4 linked regions of the Caenorhabditis elegans genome follow. The protein of the gene in region 1 purifies or fractionates together with the protein of each later gene. This does not show direct contact. Each region holds a gene or a part of one and is shown in the gene's direction. Other genes may lie near its edges.

Region 1 (7,767 bases):
TGTAACTTCCATTATTTTCTTTCATGGTATTTTGTAGATATGTTTTTTTTTCTAATAATGTAAATTAAAACTGATATCTAGAGTTATCTAGAGTTGCGAATTCACATATAAAGTGTTAAGTTGGTTGATAAGCATGATGCGCTTTTTTCTATTAGTATTTCTCTCTTCAAGTTGGCATTCTATATTTCACTACATTTTAAAAATACAAAAAGTAGTTAATTACTAAATTGTAGAGATAGAAATGTTACATTTGTGCTAGTTGATAATTTCTGATGAAAAAAAACATCTGTCAAAATTAAGCATTAGGGTTCAAGTCTGATAGAGTGGCTAGTTTTCCAGATGGTTACTAAACAAAAGTTGGTAGCATACACTTCCAAACTTGGTAGATCTTCCCCATTAAAAGTCCTATGATTCAAGAACCTGCTCTTTCCGTAGTAGGAAAATACGGCTTATACTTGTGGGATTTCAGTTTTAATGTTTTTCTCGATCATATAAGTAAATTTAAAAACATTTCGTTAAACGGTCTAAAATTAAAAACTGTGTACCCTTGTAAGATCTCTATCTAATAATAAGTTTAGTTTGCACTCTATTAGGTCTGCCTGTTGTCAATACAGTGACCTACATAACTTCCCAATAGTATCTATTTCTGTGTGCATAACCAATATACATTGCCACGTCATAAACGAGATCCCTCACCTTTTATTAGGTTCTCCTCTTGACCGCCTCAGAGTTTGGCTTATCTTCTGTTACATTCAAAACAAACAAAATGTAGGATAATCATTCAAATTTCTGTAATCTTCCGGTTCACACTTGAATGTGAAACTGTTACTATAGTGACAGTGAAGATATGTTTTAGGATTATGATTGATTTTGTTCAAGAAGAAGATCTACCAAACTTGGAAGTGTACACTACCTACTTTCTGGGGTAATCTAGAAATTCAGACTTTATTTGTTTTGCTTCTAAATTTTTCAACTTTGCTAGGTTGTATTCTGCTATATCAACAGATTATCAATTGGCAAGAAAATGTTTATTCATTTTTCTACCGTTTTGTAGTTAGTTACTTTTTGATATCTGTTAAAAAACTATTTGTTAGGTGAACTTGTGTAAAGTTTCAAAATCCAAAAATTATCAGTGAATCCTGAAAAATTACAATTGTGTATCGTCCATTGACAACTTTTCACATTTTCAAAATTATTATACATACAATTAGCTTCAAAAGTTTGAAAAACTCCATATCTAGACTATACTATTCATAGCTCTTTATTCAAAAGTGCCATAGACAGGTGTCGCATTACAAGTGTCTTGTCTGTACCATCTAATCTGATGGATTTGATCTCCCATACACGCGCAACGTAAACTATTATTATTATTTTCCATCCTCCCATCAAGTGTTCTCCACTGAATACCATGCACATCTAACTTTACCTAATCCCTGCTGTCCCATCTCCAATAATTCATTTCCTGCTCTTCCACACCTGCCCCCGTAAGCATTATCGGGGGCCATTGGGGTTTAACTTGGTACCCGAACGCAACCCCATTACTGTCCAAAAGAAGGCGGAGTCTCTGTATGTGCGCGGGCAATGCATGATGCCAGGTGCACCACGCCGCTAAGCAGATGGTGTCCTCCTCCAGACCGCCCTCCTTACTTTGAGTGTCTATGTGTGGTCATTCTGTGGTCCTTCTACACTTTCTTGCTACTTTTCTTGTTTGCTGAAAACTTTTTCTCTGTACCTTCTTACTATTTAAAAAATATGTTTTAGGACTTTATCTATATCAAAATGTCATCAATCTCCAACAACCCAGACTTTTCATCCATTGATCCAGCAGTTTTAATGTCATTGCTCATGAAATCTTCTGGTTCACTTCCAACACCTCCAGATACTCATTCCGATGGATCTGAATCTCCAGACTCCACAGCTTCAGATTCTTCTGATAAGAAGAGACGCCGGAAGCCAGAATGTAAGTTTGGGAAAAGTTTGAGATGTTGCTCAGCTTGTATTTCGGATACTTTGTGTTTTATATTAAAAAAAATAACTGGAGAAATTTGGGAAAATATTTAGTTTTTATTTTCATAGGTAAAATCTTTTTGATTACATGTGTCTTGGTTACTCTAAGCTTGATTTAATTCAACCAGTAAACTATAGAAAACAAATAAAAACTCGTTCACTTCTTGATAATACCAAAAACAGCTAAGATGGAATCGATGAAAGTCGTAGTCATATGGTTAAGCGGTACTTGCCCCTAAAATTCTCTACTTTTATATCGTTTATCTCAATCTTTGAACTTTTAAAAATTATTCAACAGGCAAAGTACGTGCCAAATATTTCTCTTCATTTTAATAGTTAAACATTTTGATAAAACAAAAAAAAACCCGGAATACAGTTTGTTAAAGTAAAACTCTCTCCTAGTCGGCACTTATTTGTTCTAATTTATAATTCCAGTGTGAATAGTTTTAATATTGTTTCGGTTAGGTGCTATTTGCCTAGTTTCAAAGTGTCACTAATTGTTTAATTAAGAGTGAATAGAGGATTTCCTCCTGACCTGTAAAACTTTTCTCGTGGGAAACCTTCTTTGTTCAATTCTTCTCCTCTCGTAATCCCCACTGTCTCTCTATAACTTTGCAAATGCAACTCCATCTGCCATCTGATTCTTGTGATAAAATGGATCGAAAAGATTTGGGTCTTCTGACCCTACTCGTCATCATCATTTGTTTTTGGATTTTTCAATATTTTCCAACTCTTTCAACTACAACCCGGGTTGATCTAGTGTCGCAACGTCAAATCGCATTATGTTGTAGTCGTTTTGACTTAGATTTGAGAAAGAGAGCCATTTCAAAGTCAGAAACTTCACTTTCAAATTATTTTTTTCTCCTTGCTCCCTACAAGACTTTCTAGATAATTTTTCTCTTCTCGTCAAATAGTTTTTTCTCGTACTATTTACTAGTACTATTATATGGTCAAAATCTAAATATGGCCACCCCGTAAGCACAGTGTGACTGGGAGACACCGACAGCTGCTCAAACAGGGAGCTCTAGTACTTTTCCATGGTCAGCAGTGATATAGATGCTTCTACGAATGACCAATATGTAAGCTTAAAGTTTAAACAGCCGCCACACGCTTTTTACTTTTTACCATTCAATTATTTCGGCTATTCGAGTGAGTGAGTGTCGTGACCTTTAAATCCAAAATCCAAAATCTTTCCCCCCTTAGAAGTTGTCTCCTCTTAAAAGTACCCCTCCATCTGTCGCCAGATGTTCTCTACAGACCGCCAGCACTTTGTTTTTTTGTTTGCTAAAAACTTTCCTTTGAAATTCAAAATGCCTCCCATACAAAGTGCATCGGCTTCAATTAGCTGGAATTTTATATATTTTATATATTTTTCAACGGCACCATACCGTAATTTTGGGCAATCATTCTGCAAAACTTTTTCTTTATTGCTAATCAAAAAATGAAGACTTCTTGTCATATCACCTTTTTTGGTTGCAGATGGCTGGCAGAAACTGACTTATAAGTCGATGTTTTACACACCGATTTGTAGTATCACCTTTGCGTCACTTTTTGGAGATTTGATTTTTCTAGGCAGTAAGTAGCTATATTTAGCCAACTGAATCACTTTTCGTACAAATTTTCGGTTTTTTAACTCCAAAAGTTAATTTTAAAAAGTTACTGATAAAGGTGACAATGGGCCACAGTGAGTCGATAAGTTACATAATCAAAAACACCTCAAAATGGCTATGTAAACAAATTTCCTTCTGTTCATTAAAAAATCTCAAAAAGACACCGCCAAGTTGTCACTTCCTTCCATTTTCCGGTCCATAATTGTGCGAATTGTGCTCTGCTTCTGGTTACATCATGACCATCTCCGAAAAACGGGCGGTCCACTTCAAAAACATCATAGGGCGCGCTTCGGCTCATTGGTTACTTCCTTTTCTCAATCAAAAGCTTCCCACTTCTATTGTAGTTTTTTTACCGCAAGTGATCTCTAACAGAGGGGAGAAGTCCTGCATCATTAATTATACATTCATTGCGTTCTCTTTAGTCACCGCTCTATCTGGAACCATTTACATGACATATGGTGGTAAGGTGGTAAAGATTAGGGAAGAGTTAGGAAAATTGTAGAATGGGAAAATGAGGCATATGGGTAGATTACTGTAGTTGACAGTCATGATGGATTGGCTGAAACTTTTCTGACAGTACCTGAGGCCTACGCCTGCCGCATACCTAAATTGATAAATGTAGCGAAATAGAAAATTATTCAAAAGTGAATTTTTATGAAACAAATGCTGGCGACCAAAGGAGCTTCAATTTTCAACTCCCTGAAAAATATCTGGCCTCGGAAATTTGAACTTGATCTACTGAAACTTCTCTTCTTGGGATTTACCCCTACTTAGCTAATGCATCTCTCATCTCAAATATCAGAATCTTACGAGTTGACAGATGTTCTTGTACTCATCTCCTCATGTTGCTCTACCTATTCATTAGAACTCCATACATTACCGCTCCATCATTACCCTTCACATCATGACTTTTGCTCATTACAGCTAAAGACATTGTCCGTGTTGCCGAAGAAGCCGAAGCCGCTGCTGCCACGTGTTCATCGATTCCATCATCTTCAGATACAAAAGAAAACGAAACAGAAGAAGATCAGAATATGACTTGTGACACGACAACAAACAATGCACAGAAACCAACTGAACAGGTTAGTAAAATTTAGTGTTCGGTTTTGAAATCGAATCGGCAATTAAATATATGATGTGTCCTTGGATGGTCTTAAAAGGACGCAAAAGACAGCTGACAGGGCCTAGAGAGAGCACCTGTTCCATCGTTCCGAACTATTACCTAACAACTTTTTTATGCTTCCGAAGAAGAACATGTGCCTGTACATCTGTCTGAGATCCTTTGAGATAACATCTTCATTCATTCCATTCACTTTCAGACCGCCACCTCCGCAGATGTCGTCACCTCATCAGTTCCAAGTGGCCTCGAAGGAGTTCCGTCGTTCCTCTTCTCGCAATTTATGGCTCCATCCTTCCAAAAACAGCTTGAAATTTTTACATCAGGAAATATGATGAGCGCCACACACTCTGACACATCACCTTCCGATGTCGACTCAGTTTTGGATGGTGGTGTCGTGACAGCAGAGGAGACGTCGTCGTCAAAGGTGAGAAGCCAAAGAAATTTGCATTTTGAGTGAAAAGAAGTGAAGTGGGAATGGGGGGCACACGGTAGAGAAAAGTGACTTGTTGCATATTTATGAACTCACATTGACACATATTGAAATTGGGAATGGCAGCTCAACTTGGGAAATTATTTCAAAATTTTGAAAATTTAAGTGAGAAGTTTCAAGGGAAACTGGTAGTTTTGCAATGCCTAGCTTAACGAAAATTAGGGTCATGTCTTCGAGGAAATTTTGGGAAGTTCCGGAAAATTTTTAAAAATTTTTAAAAATCATCTGGAAGGTCTTGGAAGAACCGAGCAACTTTGAAAAGTCGAAACTGTTTCGAAAGGTTTCAGAAAGAAAAGCTGGAGAAACGTTTGAAAAGTTCTAGGAGGTTCAAAAATCTTCTGGAGATTTTAGAAAATTAGGAAAACTTCTGGAATTTTCTATAAGATTTAGGAAAGTTCTCAGGAAAATTCACGGAACTTTTGGAAACTCTATTAAATTCAATTGTTAAAGCGAGTACGGTAGATCAAATTTCTTACAACTCCTCGGACCACCTAGTTGGTAGCAATGACTTGAAATAACAAGTTGCTGGTCACGCAAGGGCTTCCAACTTTAATTATATGTCAAAACAGACACAAAACACCTTAGAACCCAACGGATGACATTGCGTGACCAATGACACTGCCGCCTCACCGATTGTTCTTACTAGGAGTAGTAGTAGTAAAGAGTGAGACTTGCCAACTTTGATGGATTACTATTATTGTTTTTCTTCGTTTCATATCTTTTTTACCAAAAAATACGATTTTCAGAGCCCAATGATGACATCGTCGGATACTCCAAAGACTCCATTAACTGCTTCAAGCCCACCACACTCATCTGGATCAGAATCTCGAGTTATGTCTCCAATTACACATACAAATATCAGTGATGAACTTTCAATCTCTACAACTCCAACAGTTGCATTTACTCCAAACGGATCAATTCCATCACCTGGTACTGGTTACTCATGGAGCATCAGACGTGGTAAGGACTTTTTGAACAGAAAGTTGGGACCCTACAGTAATCCTCTGAAGATATTTCAGTTGAAAATCAATCTCTAACCCCAACTTACTAACCACTAATTCCCCCATTCTGAGTTTTCTTTCGAAGAATATCAAAAAATAATAATCCATTTGGGAGGGATAAAATGAGTGCACTAACCACAAAATAAACTAATCCCCTCACTTACCACTCCACTCGCACCGAATCACATGAAATTCCATTTGGAGCGGTACTAAGTCCCAACTTTCAGAAGGCAAACTGGCTTGTCCAACACCTGGATGTGATGGATCAGGACATCAGACAGGACTCTACACTCATCACAGAAGTTTGTCCGGATGTCCACGTAGACCAGACAAGACTGTTATCCAAAGTAAGTTTAAATTGAAACTAAACATAAATCTTAGCTGGCTGTGAACTTGGAGCAACAAGTAAACTAGCTCATTAATCTGGTAAAAAGAGCTTAAGATAAATGAGCTCTCATGCATTTCATACTTACTTTGAAGCCAATACTTGTAGCAGTAGCAAGAGCCAAAGATTGATGACTTTTCCCACTCACTCACTTACTTTTCCCGTTTGCAGTGCTTGCTCTCCGACAAGACACCGTGCTCCGATGCACCACAGCCGGATGCTCTGGAAAGGGACATGTCAATGGAAATAGAACATCTCACCGTAGTCTCTCTGGTTGTCCAATTGCCCATCAGGAAAAGCTTGCACGGAAGGGAATTAAGACAACACCACAACGCACGAAAACTCCAATTAAGGGAATCAGTATTTCTGATGAATGTCCACTTGACTTGACACTTTCTGGACTTCCAGCTGGATTGTCAGCTCAGCAATTGTTGGCTGCAGCACAAGCAGGACTCATTCCATCAAGGTATTCTATTTCATTCTCAATAAACAGTTTCTATAAAATTGAATTTTCAGTCAAATGATGGATGCTCTCTTCCAACAATTCTCTCAAACACAACCACTTGCTACATTGGAAGAGGAGTCAAAGAAAGAGGTACAATAATTTATAACATTTGATTCTGAGAAGTTTTTAATTGAGGAATATTTGTACTCTCTGAAAATAATTTTATTTAAAAGTTTTGGGAAAATGCTCATAAAAATTACTTTAAAGACCTGAAAAACTTTCTCAAACTGTCCTTTACCGAAAAAAAATTCTAAGACAGTTTTTTGGTAAATGACAACTTCCTCCAGTTTCCAAATTTCCCAAGAAAATGAAGATTATTTCCGAATCAATCAGATATTTTTCCATTTTTCTATATTAATTTTTGATCCGAAATGGGCAGTTGTGAAGATTTGAAAAACTTACCAAAGTCACTTTATCTTTTAATCTTAACGGTAATTTATTTCAGAACGAGATGGAAGTTGACGTTGAAACAACATCAGATGATATTCCAACTCTTATTAAAGAAGAAGAAGAAGTTAAATGCGAGTCACCTGTTCCATCCGTGATCCCAGAGATTCAATCAACACCATCAAGACCTGTTGCTGCTCCAGTTGCTCCTGGCTCCGCGGAAAAGAGCTCCCCAACATCTCAAATGCTCCTTCAAATGCCT
Region 2 (6,385 bases), on another chromosome or scaffold:
ATATTTATATACCTATATTTTTTTTTCAACAAACCTCCAAATCAATCATTTCTCGTGGAAGTGGAGCATCTGGATTCTCACCAGTATCCAGCATCGGGATCTGATCTTTTTTAATTTCTCGTTCAAGATATCTCAATTTTCGTTCCATTTCATCACACCGTCTGACTTCATTTACATATTTTCGTTGGAAGGAGCTCACATCGGGATTAAGCTGAAAATTAAAATAAATTGAAGTTTTACTTTTTTTTAAAATTATTAATTGAAAATAGTTTTTTACATATCACAAACTCACATCACGAAACTGAACAAGTCCGAGCTCTCCCAGTTCAGCAACGCATTGATAGGAAGCATCAGATTGAAGGTAGAGTTGAGCCAGGCACATCTGCTCACTTCGATAGATGCCCGGTTGTGGTGGCTCCTCGCCGGGAGTCACGTAATCACCCATTCTAGTTGATTCTGTAAGAATTTCCATGAAATAATATGAAGATTTCAAAAATAAGAAGGAAAAAAAAATCAAAAACGCTTCTTTCGAGAGAAAACATTTAAGAAAAGCACGAGGCTAGGAGCGAAGGCCTCAGGACCGAAGACCAGATATTGACGGAGAGGGATCGATACGGAGCAGCACTGAGCAAGAAGAGAGCATGCGCTCAAACGTGCTCCATTGGAATATCATGAAAAAAGGGAGAGAAATCTAGAAAAAACTAAAGAAACAATTTGCGCAATCTAATCGATCAGCCGACACGTCATCGACATTAGAGCGTAATTCTCCAGGATCTAATAGCTAGACGCAGAGAAATAAACTTTCAGATGGCGAATAAGAAAACCTAAAGGAGATGAGGAAGAAATGAACAGGACAGGTTTTAAAAGAAAGAAAATGTCTGATTGTCTGCCTCATTCACCGCAATGTTTGAACACTGAAACCATTTGTAAGCAGTGTTATAGGATGGAGAAACGTAAACATTGGGCGACTCACATTTCGTGGATATTATGAAATTCAATCGATTCGATCAAAAGGTTGAGAGAAATGAAATAATTGTAGAGCAGTGGGGGAGATTGAGTGGTGATAACGCGAAAAAACGATAAGATTACGCTGCGAGAGGTCAACTTTGCACAAAAACTTCAATTTTGATGCGGAAATTGTATTAAATTTAAGAGAATTGTTTCTTTGCAAAAAGATTTTATAAATAGTGTTTCAAAGTAACATCAAACCATAGAATCCAGATCCAGAACGAAAAACGCTGACTAAAAACACTAAAGAAGAATATTGCTTTGAAGAAAAAACCTGTGAGATGTTTTCGGAACAAAGATGAGTGATTGAAGACGAAATATTTTTAATGAAAAGTTTATTCTACAATTTTAAAACTTTGCGGCCAAAATAAATTTTGGTAAACACTTAGTAGGAATGAACAATTTTATAATGTTTCTTGCCAATAAGGAGAGAAATGAATCATGAGAATGGAAAGAGAAGAACAATATAAACAAAATAATTCGTTTTAAATGCGGAAAGGAAGAAAAAAACATGTTTCACCGCATGATCTTGTGTAAAACCATGTTTAAAATTTAATGATAACCCAGGAAAGATGGAAAATCAATACAAATAAGAAATAAAACAAATAAAAAAAAAAAAAAAACTTTCACGAGAAAATCCAAAAACGGAATGTCACGACGTTCGACTGTCAAACAGCAGCTCTCCCTTTTTTCCGTTTCCCACCACATTCACTTCTCTCAGCTGTGTTCTGTTTTCCAACAGACAGCGCTCCACCGTACCTCGCTACACTGCCGCAGGGCAATCGCGTCGAGACCATCACGCTGTTTGAAATCGGCTGTTGGTTGGGGAAAAGAACCGCCATTTCAAAGTTTTTTTCGCGCGCGCGCGTCCGCATTCTTTCATTGATTTTTGTCTCGTGGTCTGAAATTATTCAAAAATTTGTTATTTTTCAGATAAAAATGTCGTCTGCGGTGAGAAGTCCGCGGAAAAAGGCAGCAAGTGACACGTCTGATCCTGTAAGTTATTGGAAATATTGATTTTATTGGGTTTTCGTGTTTTTAAAAATAAAGAAGTTGTAAATTAAAGAAAGATATTGAAAGTATGCATGACATTCGGTATTTTCAGGATCGCACCAGCTCACCATACAGTCTCCGTGAAACATCTAAAGTTCCATCGAGATATCGTAATGAAGAACTATACCTATCACCGTCTCGCAGTATCAAACGTACCGGATCTCCCAAAAAGTAACAAGCTGTTCCGAAAAAGTGGCCGACTAATCTTATGATTTTACAGATCTCCCGCGAAACGCCTGAATGGAGGTAGAGATTCTCCTTCAGTGAACTCATTGACCCGAAACTCAAGTCTAACAATGCTCGCAAAGGCAGCTCTTGATTATGAATCTTCCAGTTGTGCTTTGGAATATATTGTAAGTTTTAAAACAATTGTATTGTTGTCATGTCTCCAAGTTCCAGCCAAAAGAAGAACGACGCCCTCCACGCAGAGCTCTTGCTCTGTCTCCGCCTCCAGCACCAAGTAATGATCTTCTCGCAAAGGATCTGGAGATGATTGAGATGCATCAAAACCTTGTAGCAGGTCTTGATGATTTAGATAATCCTGCGAATATGACAAATGAAGCTGTAGAACATCGAGATACACAGTCATTCTTCAACATGTTCAGTACAGATCAAGAACGAAGTGCCATGATGAAACAATTCAAAACGTATAAAAATCAAACAAGTGAAGATGTGAGCACATTTATGAGAGCTAATATAAAGAAACTCTACAATTTGCTCCGATATAAGAAAGCTCGTCAATGGGTCATGTGCGAGTTCTTCTATTCTGCAATCGACGAACAAATTTTCAAAGAAGAAAACGAGTTTGCCACAATTATCCGCGAATCTTTCCCAAATCTGAAAAATTGGAATTTAACGCGTATTGAGTGGCGGTCGATTCGAAAACTTCTCGGAAAGCCACGTAGATGCTCGAAAGTGTTTTTTGAAGAAGAAAGAATGTACCTGGAAGAGAAAAGAATGAAGATTCGAAGTGTCTATGAAGGAAGTTATCTTAACGTAAGGCTGAAGAGGTGTATCATTTTCAATAAATGTTCTTTCAGGATCCATCGATTGATCTAAAAGATCTTCCAGCCAAGCTTCCACGTCCAATGGTGGTTGGAAATCGTGTATTTGCGAGAATTCGAAATCCCTACGATGGAATTTATTCTGGAATTATTGATGCTGTCATTCCGAAAGGATTCAGAATTATTTTTGACAAGGTTTGTAAAAGGAGACTCAATATCACCCAAAACGCCCGAATTTTGTAACGAGATGTCTTAAAATTTCGCCACAAACCTATTTTCAGCTAAATTCGTGAACTTCGCCAACTTGTCCATTTTGTACATGCTGGAATGCAATTCTTATTGCATTTTCAACAGTTATTGCATATTTTAGTGGTTTATTTCGCTTTAATTCTATGATTTAGGATCACTTTAAGTCGATAGACACCAAAAATATCAAAGTAGGATTCTTATCGACTTAAAATGTGCTCAAATCATCGAATTACTACCAAAATATGCAATAAAAAGTGTTAGGAGAAATTGACAAAATTTAATGATTTAGCTGAAAATAGGAAGTCTTTGGAAATTAAGACGTCCTATTACTATATTCGGTAGTTTTGGATCATAAATTATTTTGTTTTAGGGAAATTTGAATATTTGAAATTCTATAAATTCCAATGTTTTATTCTTTCAGCCAGATATCCCACCAACACTGGTTAGTGACACGGAAATACTTCTCGACGGAAAACTTGATTTGTTGAGTATCGCCTACTTCATTGAACAAGCCAACTCTAAGCTTCCATCAGGCGTTCGTCCATTTGTAGCAGCAGTTCGTGACTCATCACATCCACATCTTGTTCGTGACGTCCTGGTTTCTCGAAAAATCGAGAGAAGTGGTGGACCATTAATGGGACCGAACGACGAACGATTAAATGGAAAAAATGCAGAAATGGTTGGAAATTTCCCGCTGAAATTCCTTGTGAATCTTGTGAAACTGACGAAATTAATTGATATCAAAAAGGGATTGATACGACAATTGAACGAATTGAATGCGGATGCCGAGATACAAAATATGACGTCAGACAAATATTCGAAAGCTTTTCAGGTACATTTTTAATTAGAAATTTTTTTTGATATATGAAAAAGTCAACTAGATAGAATCTAAAAAACAATTTTTTTTCAGGAGAAATACGCCAAAACTATCATCGATCTGGAACATGTGAATCAGAATATAGATATCAATATGAATGGAATTCAAGATCACCATATGTATTTCTCTTCGAATGATGTAATTTTTCATTTCCTGATTCTTCGAAAGATCTATTTGTTTGCAGATTTCAACGTCAAATATGAAACCTGAAGCAGTTAGACAAATGTGCTCTCAACAAGCTGGAAGATTTGTAGAGCACTGTAATCAAGGATTAAATGTAGAGAATGTGCATGCGTTGACACTTATTCAATCATTGACAGCTGTCCTTTTACAGGTTTGTGGCACTATAGACTGCAGAATAATAATTTATTAATGAAAAAAAAAATTGAAAATGTAAAAATTCATTAGAAAATAAACTTCGGTTTTTACCAAATCCTCTTTCCTAATTTCATTATGGGACGATGCAAGTGAATTTCTCGTCATTTCTCGACACATTTTTTGCAATGCAAGTGTGCGGAGAAATGACGAGAAATGTCGTGAAATTCGCAATTTCTACGCGTTTCTCGACATATGAGATGTGTCCTCGCAGGGTGGTAAGACATTTCACCCTGTTAAAAGTGCGGTGAGTAGGCGGAGTTTCCTGCGGGGACACATGTTTCTGCGTATCTCACCGTTCATCATATGTCGAGAAATGCGGAGAAATTGCAAATTTCACGACATTTCTCGTCATTTCTCCGCGCACTTGCATTGCAAAAAATGTGTCGAGAAATTACGAGAAATTCACCACGTGTTTTCAGCTCGACCATTCGGTGTAATTTGTGCAAACACCGTCACGCGCTGCGGTGAAATTCCTCTTGGCGAATTCAAATATTTTTTCCCGCCTTTTTTGAAAATTTTCGAGGCGTTGGTCGAGCTGAATACACGTGTTCACTTGCATCGTCCCATTAGAATTAATTACAAATTACTATTTTACAAAAAAAAAACTAAAATTGTTTCCTAGAATTCAAAATTACCTGGTCATCGGTAAAACACTATTAAAAAATTTTTTTACTGCAGAAAAATATTAGAAAAAATATTATATTTTTCCAGGTTCGCACAATGGGAACTCAAAAGATCTCTGCAGTTGATCTTCAATCACTTGGTGACGCCATATCTGAAATTCGGACCGCTATTCACCCCCGCAACGTGGCATTCTTCCAAGACTACGTTGAAGTTCATATGAAACAATTTCACACAATTATGCTCGAAAGTGGAGCACTAGCTGGAACTGTATCGAACAGAAAATAACTAAAAGCGTCTCATTTTGTCCAAAAAAACGCCAACCGGTCCCGTCAGTTTTTGTTTTTCTGAATATTCTCAGTTCTCTCATCTCTGCTCTCTCTCTCTCCCCACCTTCTTCAATCACTTTGTGTCTTTTCAAAATTGTACCCGATCATGAGACACATCCCCATTTTTCTTATTTTTTAAAAGTAGTTCAACCTTGATAATTCGAATGTGCCAAAATTCTATTTTCTTCCTCATTGTCATCATCATCATCATCAGTTTTCGAGAAAAACGAGCCAAATAACGAAACCCTTGTCAGTTATACTCCACTATTTTTTATTTTACTGACTGTCTAGAAAATAAATAAAATTTTAAAGTTTCAGGTGAATTTTCATTTTATTATGTTTGCCAGCGGTGAGAAGATATTAGCCCGGACACAAAAGTGAGCGCTAAAAGTACGGTAACTGGTCACGACAAATGTCTGTTAAATACAAACGGATGTGCGCCTTCAAAGATTACTGTAGTTTTAAACTGTCTTTGCTGCGTAATTTTGATCAATTTTTATAGTGTGTTGCGCGCCTTGCTTCGTATTTGAATTCCATTCGCATTTTTTGCTGTTTTGCTGCTAATTTCTTTATTAAATTTATCACGAATGCGTTATTTCGGAGCTTCGTTGTTTCGTTTGAAAGTAAAAATAAAAATAGGAGGAATCGTGGCGAGACCCGCTCCCTACGAAATCTCATGTCCCTTTAACTTTTTGCGCCAAAAAACGAATTTCAATTTTTTTAAAAGTCATTTTTAGCTTTTTTTCTTAATTTTCTTATTTTTTAACAAAAATTTCACTGAAAACCGACAAAAATACATTTAAAACTGTTTAAAAAATTTGAAAAAATAGTTAAAATTTAAAAAATTTCTGTTAATCTTTTATGAA
Region 3 (3,789 bases), 290 kb from region 1:
AACGATAATTATTCTTTGCAAAAATTGAAAATTTCAGGAAATGGCCACTCTTGAAGATGGAACCTCCGAAGATCGCGTCGCAAATGATGAATACAAAATTTGGAAAAAGAACACCCCGTTCTTGTACGATCTCGTAATGACACATGCGCTTGAGTGGCCTTCACTCAGTGTTCAATGGCTCCCAGACGTTGCGAAGGTATGTGTTCTCATATAATTCACAACTTTCATGAAGTGAATTCAAATAATTTAGGATAACAGCGACCATACTATTCATCGGCTCATTCTTGGAACTCATACTTCAGATGAGCAGAATCACTTGCTTATTTCTAAGATCTGTATGCCAACGGATGATGCCCAATTTGATGCATCTCGCTACGATACCGAGCGCAGTGAATACGGTGGTTTCGGAGCTGTTAACGGAAAAGTGGAACCCGATATTCGCATTAACCACGAAGGGGAGGTTAACAGAGCTCGTTACATGCCTCAAAAGTCGAATATCATTGCTACAAAGTCTCCACATGCTGATGTTTACATTTTCGACTATTTAAAGCACTCTGCTGTTCCTCGTGATAACACGTTCAATCCGCTTATCAGACTGAAAGGACACACGAAGGAAGGCTATGGATTATCATGGAATCCAAACAAAGAAGGTTTGATTCTATCAGCGTCAGATGATCAGACAGTTTGTCATTGGGATATCAACGCAAATCAGAATGTTGCCGGGGAATTGCAAGCGAAGGATGTTTTCAAAGGTCACGAGTCAGTCGTTGAAGATGTTGCTTGGCACGTTTTGCATGATGGTGTCTTCGGATCGGTTGGTGACGATAAGAAATTGTAAGCTTTTGTTTTTTTTCTATTTATTAACTAATTAAAAATTATAGGCTCATTTGGGATGTGCGCACAAGCACTCCTGGACACTGTATCGATGCTCATTCTGCCGAAGTTAACTGTCTCGCATTCAATCCATATTCCGAATTCATTCTGGCCACCGGATCAGCTGATAAAACTGTCGCTCTTTGGGATCTACGTAATCTACGAATGAAACTTCACTCATTTGAATCACATCGTGATGAAATCTTCCAAGTTCAGTGGAGTCCACACAACGAGACTATTCTTGCATCCAGCGGTACTGATAAACGTCTTCATGTGTGGGACCTATCTAAGATTGGAGAAGACCAATCTGCCGAAGACGCGGAAGATGGTCCACCAGAGCTGTTGTTTATTCACGGTGGGCACACCGCCAAGATCAGCGATTTCTCGTGGAACCCGAACGAGCCTTGGGTTGTGTGCAGTGTGTCAGAAGACAATATTCTCCAAGTGTGGCAAATGGCTGATAACATATACAACGAAGTTGACGAAGAAACTCCAGCCGATGTGGTAGAGAGACAACAGTAAAATACGTGAAACGCGCTTAAATTATTTGTATTTAACTTCTATCCTTCTTTAATTTTGCATCTCAACAAATTGTTCATCTTACCATTTATTCAAACGCATATTCTTCACCAACTAAGTTTTTAAAGTTAAAATGTTACCTTGAGATATGATCATATTTTGTTGAACCTGAAATAAATTCGATGACCATTGTCAGATAACTGTTTTGAAATATTATGTTAACGTGATTGTTGTGATAGCTCAGATTGTGATATTTTTGGTTTTTTGTTGTATCTTTTGTTATTTCAGGCAATTTCAGAGCACAATGAGTGAAGCTGAATCGTGTGAAGAAACGAGTAAAGAACATAGAATTTGGAAGAAAAATGTTCCATATCTCTACGATACAGTCGTCACAAAAGAGGTCGAGTGGCCTTCTTTATCAGTGCAATGGATGCCTGATGTCACAAAAGTAAGAATCGGTAAATATGATTTCGCCTTCTTCATTATTTTTTTAAGACAGAGAACTCGGATTCATCGATGCATCGAATGATTCATGGAACACATACTTGTGGAGGAGTTCAGAATCATCTCATGATCTCAAAGTTCACAATAACGACAGACACACCAGAATTCGACGACGCTAAATGGGATTCGGAACGTGAAGAGTTCGGAGGTTATGGAGAGGGCAGCGCTGCAAAATGGGATACTGAGATTAAAATCAACCATCCAGGAGAAGTTCATAGGGCACGTTACATGCCACATAATCCTTTCATTATTGCAAGTCGAGGTCCTTCTGATGACGTTTATATTTTCGACTACACGAAGCACCCATCTGAACCAAAAGACACCAAATTTCGACCTCAATTGCGATTGAAAGGCCATGAAGGCGAAGGATATGGAATGTCGTGGAGCAACACCAGAGAGGGACATTTGCTAACTGCCGGCGATGACGGAATGGTATTTCTAACAAAAGATATACATAAATATACATTTTTTAAGATTTGCCACTGGGATATAAACGCGAATCAGACCATTTCCGGTCAAATAGTGCCACAAAGCAAGTTTAAAGGTCATTCATCAAATGCGGAGGATGTTTCTTTTCACGCGCTCCATAATTTCGTTTTTGGATCTGTTGGAGATGATAGAAAACTGTAAGTATAAATACATCATACCATTCTGTCGAGATTTCAAAATAATTTTCACGTCTTTAGAAACCTATGGGATCTGCGTCAATCAAAGCCACAGCTCACAGCCGTCGGACATACTGCAGAAGTTAATTGTATTACTTTCAATCCGTTTTCCGAATACATTTTAGCAACCGGATCTGTTGATAAAACGGTTGCTTTGTGGGATATGAGGAATATGCGCAAAAAAATGTACACGCTGAAACATCACAACGACGAAATATTTCAAGTATCGTTCAGCCCGCATTATGAAACTGTTCTGGCTAGTAGTGGATCGGATGAGTAAGTTTTTTCCTAATAAGTTGTATTTGTTTAACCTATGAAATTTCAAAAATTTCAGTCGGGTTATCGTTTGGGATATTTCTAAAATTCAAGACCCATCGTCTTCATCAGCTGCATCATCTGATTCTGTTCCACCAGAAGTTATTTTTATTCACGCTGGGCATACTGGAAAAGTTGCAGATTTCTCTTGGAATCCCAACCGCCCATGGACTATTTGCAGCAGCGACGAATTTAATGCATTACAGGCAAGAATTATTTTCAAAAAATTAATCATAACTATTTAATGGTTTTTCAGGTGTGGGAAGTTTCAAACAGTTTAGTTTCGTCGGAAAAATGGGAGACCGAAATGATTTAATCGTCTAAATTGCACTTTGTCGAATTTTACTAATTTTCTCACTTCTGATCTTTGAATGTAAAAATCACATTCCTATCAATGAACGTTTTTTCATTTTCTTTCATATTGTGTTCATCTATTCAGAATTAATTTCTCAGGTTTTCTCTGCCACTAAATATTTACTTTGAAAAATAGTGTGTTCACAATGGGGCGCACTTGCGAAACCATGTTTAGTCGGTTTACATTGCTTATTTTCTTACGATAAGGAATATATTGATTAAACATATTTCAAGGTTATCCAGAAAGAAAATGTTGAGAAATTGGAGACTTTTGGTAAGAAGTTTTGCAACAAATTCAAGTGAGGAAATCGCTCCGAAGGTTGATGTTAGTTTGTGAGTTTTCATTTTTTGCATGTTCAAAAAACAAAAAAAAACATTTTTTTAGTCTACGTCCCCGTCATCGAATCATTGCTGCTGGTGGGATGCCACCGGTTCAATTTGATTCTGAGCGTGAACGAGCATCTCGTCGTGAAAGATTCGGAAAATATGGTCTAAAAAGTGGTGTACCAGTTGAAGAGCTGTTCCCAACAGCTGAAGAAATTGAGGAAGAAGAAGCCAT
Region 4 (2,810 bases), on another chromosome or scaffold:
TGTCTTGTTTGTTCGTTTCTTTTTTTTCTTTCTTGCTTCTTTTTTCTTTTTGTTCTGTGCCTTCGATGACACCGCACCAATATATCTAGCAGAAACAAGTCAGCCCTCAAAATGTGCTGCTCTGCGTCTCTTTTCATTTTTACTTTTTTCGATGGTCTCCGCTCGTCTATCCATCACGTGTCTCTGGCGCCAACGCAAATGTATAAATACGAGTATTTGAATGAAACTGTCCGTCTGCTGTTGATTCGCTAAAAATATTCAGGCAGATTTCTATTCTTGAAAAAAAGCCTGAAAACGTTACTTTATTTCTCACTTTTGTAGAGCTTTTCTACAAAAACGCACTCTCATTTAGAGTTGTTTTTCATTCTCCATTGATTTTTCTCATTTTCGACCTTTTTAACATTTATTATGGCTGATAAACGCAATATAAGTCAGAATATTAAAAAAAAAAAACGAGAAAAATCAATAAAGAAATCTCTACGCCACACAAATTCCACACAAATGCGCCCTCCTTTAAACTCGTTGAAAATTTTTAACGAATTTTTCTGGTATTTCTCAATTGAAGCTTTGTTTAAATACTTTTCAGCCTTATTCCTAATCGAAAATTTCAAATTATCGATTTTAAACATTTACACTTGTAAATAGATTTGATCTTCGTCAACACTACGCGCGCCAAAATTTAGATTTGTCACTATCGTCCTTCAAATAAACACACTCCAATCGTTTCAAATGCTATTCAATCGGTTCTTTCACAGTTTTGTTTTCTTGGCACTCTCCTCCCTTTTCTGCCTACTTCTTTCTAATCATGCAACTGCCAATCATCGTCCATTTCACTTTGATAACACTTGTTTTGGTCATTCTTGTGTCGGTTCATTCTCTCATTTTTGTGTTGCTTACACGTCTCTAAGCTTTATAATAATTTTTTGTTGCAGAAAATTACCAACGAGATGTCGTCGACTGCTGAAGAAATGGCTGCCGCATTCGAGCAAACCGGAGGACCGGTCAGTGCAATGCATATATTGTATTTAAACTGAATAATTTCAATTTTAGGATCTCACCACTGGAAGCGGAAAGCGCACCAAGTCTGACAGAGTGGAGCACAAGCACGCATCTCAGCCAGGAGGGGACACTCGCAAGGTTGTTCAAACCGCCAGCAACGGAGAGGCAAAGAGAAAAGAGAAGTGGTGCGTTAATATGCTACCGTGTTTGCGGACCATGTTCCTATTTTTGATTTTTCAGAATCATTCTTCATGTGACTGCCCGACACTATTTCTCTATTCCACCACCGACTGCCCACTGATTCATGTTTTTTACCTTGTTTCTCGTTTCTTCATTATTTTTAACCGTATTGTGTAAATTTAAAATTTGTAAAGTACCCACCGGCTAGGCTGTCTAGCAATCGATTTTTTTTTGTATTTTATTGTAAATTCCCGAGTAATTTTCTTCACATCCCGTTTTTGTTCACATCAAATAAATATTTGTTTTGTGAGAATTATTTTTTAGAAGAAGAAATCAATACAATTACTTCATTGCGGCCTAACGTTTAATTCGTCACAAGCTCTATACTTACTCAATTCTAAACATTTAAATTCTGACATATAGCGGTAATTTCAGGAAAAAAATGTCGCGTCCGCTAGGATTTATTGGATACGAATTTGGAGATGACGAAATGTTCGTCCAACAAATGATCGAAAAGAAATCAAACGCAGAACAGGCGAAAATGCTTGGTTGGTATTATATTGTAGAAAAGAAAGATTCTTCGAATTTTAAATATTTTCAGAACAACAGAAAAAGATGCTCGAATGCACCGAAACAATGCCAGAAGAAAGTGAGCCAGTTCCAATGAAATGTCTCGATTTTGAAGAAGCATTTCAAAGCGAATCAGTATCAAAAGGTTACGAATCGCCATACAAGAATATTTCGTTTCTCAAGGAAGATGCTGTGACTGTTAATAGTTCGTATTCATATTGTTCCATATTCATTTCAATTTTTAACTTTCAGCAATGAGCCACTGCCCAGCCGACGATATCGCCAAGCTCATCCGAAACATTCAAAACTCGGTGTACACTCTTGGAATCGAAGAAGCTCGCCAGTGCCGACGTGGAAAGTTGCTCAACGTGCTGAAACCCACTGGCTCGGCTTCTCCGAGATATTTGCAGCCAACACCACCGAAAAATGTAGCGGAAGAAACGACAGGAAGCCAGTGAATTGAATAGTGGTCTATCAAAAAATAATGATCTCATCATTCATTAACATTCACATGAATAAACTTGATTACTAACAGAGCACAATTAGAAAGTTGGCAAATCACATAATCTCACAGTGAGAGTTTAAAAAACGAGGCTGGCAAAGTTTAAGGCAATTTTTGAAATTTATAAATATAAACGTTTCTACAAATTGTTGGCAATCCATTCGAGAGCTTCCGGCAATCCTTCTCCTTTCACAGCACAACATCCATTTATCTGCCATTTCCGAGCACCTCGTAATGTCTGGAGACCGAGTTGTGTGGATACTTCTGCTGGATTCATTGCTCCGGGCAGATCCTGTTTGTTGGCCAAAACCAGAATATGAGCACGAGCAAGATCTTCATGTTGAAGCATATTGTGCAGTTGTTCTTTCATAATTGGAATCCTAGTGGTGTCGGAACTGTCAATAACTGAAAATAATTTTAATTTTAATATCATTTACTAAAAGTTATTCATACCAACTATAACAACATCTGTTTGAACATAATAAGTACTCCAAGACTTTCGTAGACTCTCCTGCCCGCCAATATCCCAGATCACAAAATCTAAATTTCGATACGAAAC

Evidence for each region.
Region 2: the proteins of ztf-11 (region 1) and lin-9 purify together in Caenorhabditis elegans (co-purification; one study listed by BioGRID). This does not show direct contact.
Region 3: the proteins of ztf-11 (region 1) and rba-1 purify together in Caenorhabditis elegans (co-purification; one study listed by BioGRID). This does not show direct contact.
Region 4: the proteins of ztf-11 (region 1) and lin-52 purify together in Caenorhabditis elegans (co-purification; one study listed by BioGRID). This does not show direct contact.

Annotation. Positions count from the first base shown.
Region 1 is NC_003279.8:9,904,540-9,912,306, reverse strand, and holds the start of ztf-11 (Zinc finger protein ztf-11), read left to right. Parts: upstream 1-1,761; 5' UTR 1,762-1,779; coding exon 1,780-1,960; intron 1,961-2,871; exon of another isoform or gene 2,872-2,982; intron 2,983-4,541; coding exon 4,542-4,699; intron 4,700-4,781; exon of another isoform or gene 4,782-4,904; intron 4,905-4,936; coding exon 4,937-5,161; intron 5,162-5,973; coding exon 5,974-6,187; intron 6,188-6,455; coding exon 6,456-6,575; intron 6,576-6,784; coding exon 6,785-7,079; intron 7,080-7,129; coding exon 7,130-7,208; intron 7,209-7,563; coding exon 7,564-7,767.
Region 2 is NC_003281.10:8,899,688-8,906,072, reverse strand, and holds lin-9 (Protein lin-9), read left to right. Parts: upstream 1-1,941; 5' UTR 1,942-1,947; coding exon 1,948-2,004; intron 2,005-2,113; coding exon 2,114-2,232; intron 2,233-2,281; coding exon 2,282-2,414; intron 2,415-2,454; coding exon 2,455-3,057; intron 3,058-3,101; coding exon 3,102-3,260; intron 3,261-3,735; coding exon 3,736-4,146; intron 4,147-4,224; coding exon 4,225-4,329; intron 4,330-4,375; coding exon 4,376-4,525; intron 4,526-5,280; coding exon 5,281-5,478; 3' UTR 5,479-5,835; downstream 5,836-6,385. Other genes in the region: unc-32 (V-type proton ATPase 116 kDa subunit a 1), read right to left, coding at 35-211, 293-445. UniProt on the Caenorhabditis elegans protein: Synthetic multivulva class B (synMuvB) protein. SynMuvB proteins are required to repress the induction of vulval development by Ras signaling and probably act by forming the multiprotein DRM complex that represses transcription.
Region 3 is NC_003279.8:9,616,009-9,619,797, reverse strand, and holds rba-1 (putative histone-binding protein rba-1), read left to right. Parts: upstream 1-1,690; 5' UTR 1,691-1,696; coding exon 1,697-1,840; intron 1,841-1,887; coding exon 1,888-2,328; intron 2,329-2,370; coding exon 2,371-2,522; intron 2,523-2,582; coding exon 2,583-2,837; intron 2,838-2,895; coding exon 2,896-3,082; intron 3,083-3,132; coding exon 3,133-3,192; 3' UTR 3,193-3,282; downstream 3,283-3,789. Other genes in the region: putative histone-binding protein lin-53, read left to right, coding at 41-196, 251-834, 882-1,395; K07A1.10 (Large ribosomal subunit protein mL64), read left to right, coding at 3,481-3,563, 3,616-3,789. UniProt on the Caenorhabditis elegans protein: Core histone-binding subunit that may target chromatin assembly factors, chromatin remodeling factors and histone deacetylases to their histone substrates in a manner that is regulated by nucleosomal DNA. Plays a role in regulating cell cycle progression.
Region 4 is NC_003281.10:9,823,555-9,826,364, reverse strand, and holds lin-52 (Protein lin-52), read left to right. Parts: upstream 1-1,614; 5' UTR 1,615-1,621; coding exon 1,622-1,727; intron 1,728-1,780; coding exon 1,781-1,954; intron 1,955-2,001; coding exon 2,002-2,207; 3' UTR 2,208-2,282; downstream 2,283-2,810. Other genes in the region: ZK632.9 (uncharacterized protein), read left to right, coding at 948-1,001, 1,051-1,184, 1,240-1,240; arl-5 (ADP-ribosylation factor-like protein 5), read right to left, coding at 2,391-2,656, 2,705-2,810. UniProt on the Caenorhabditis elegans protein: Synthetic multivulva class B (synMuvB) protein. SynMuvB proteins are required to repress the induction of vulval development by Ras signaling and probably act by forming the multiprotein DRM complex that represses transcription.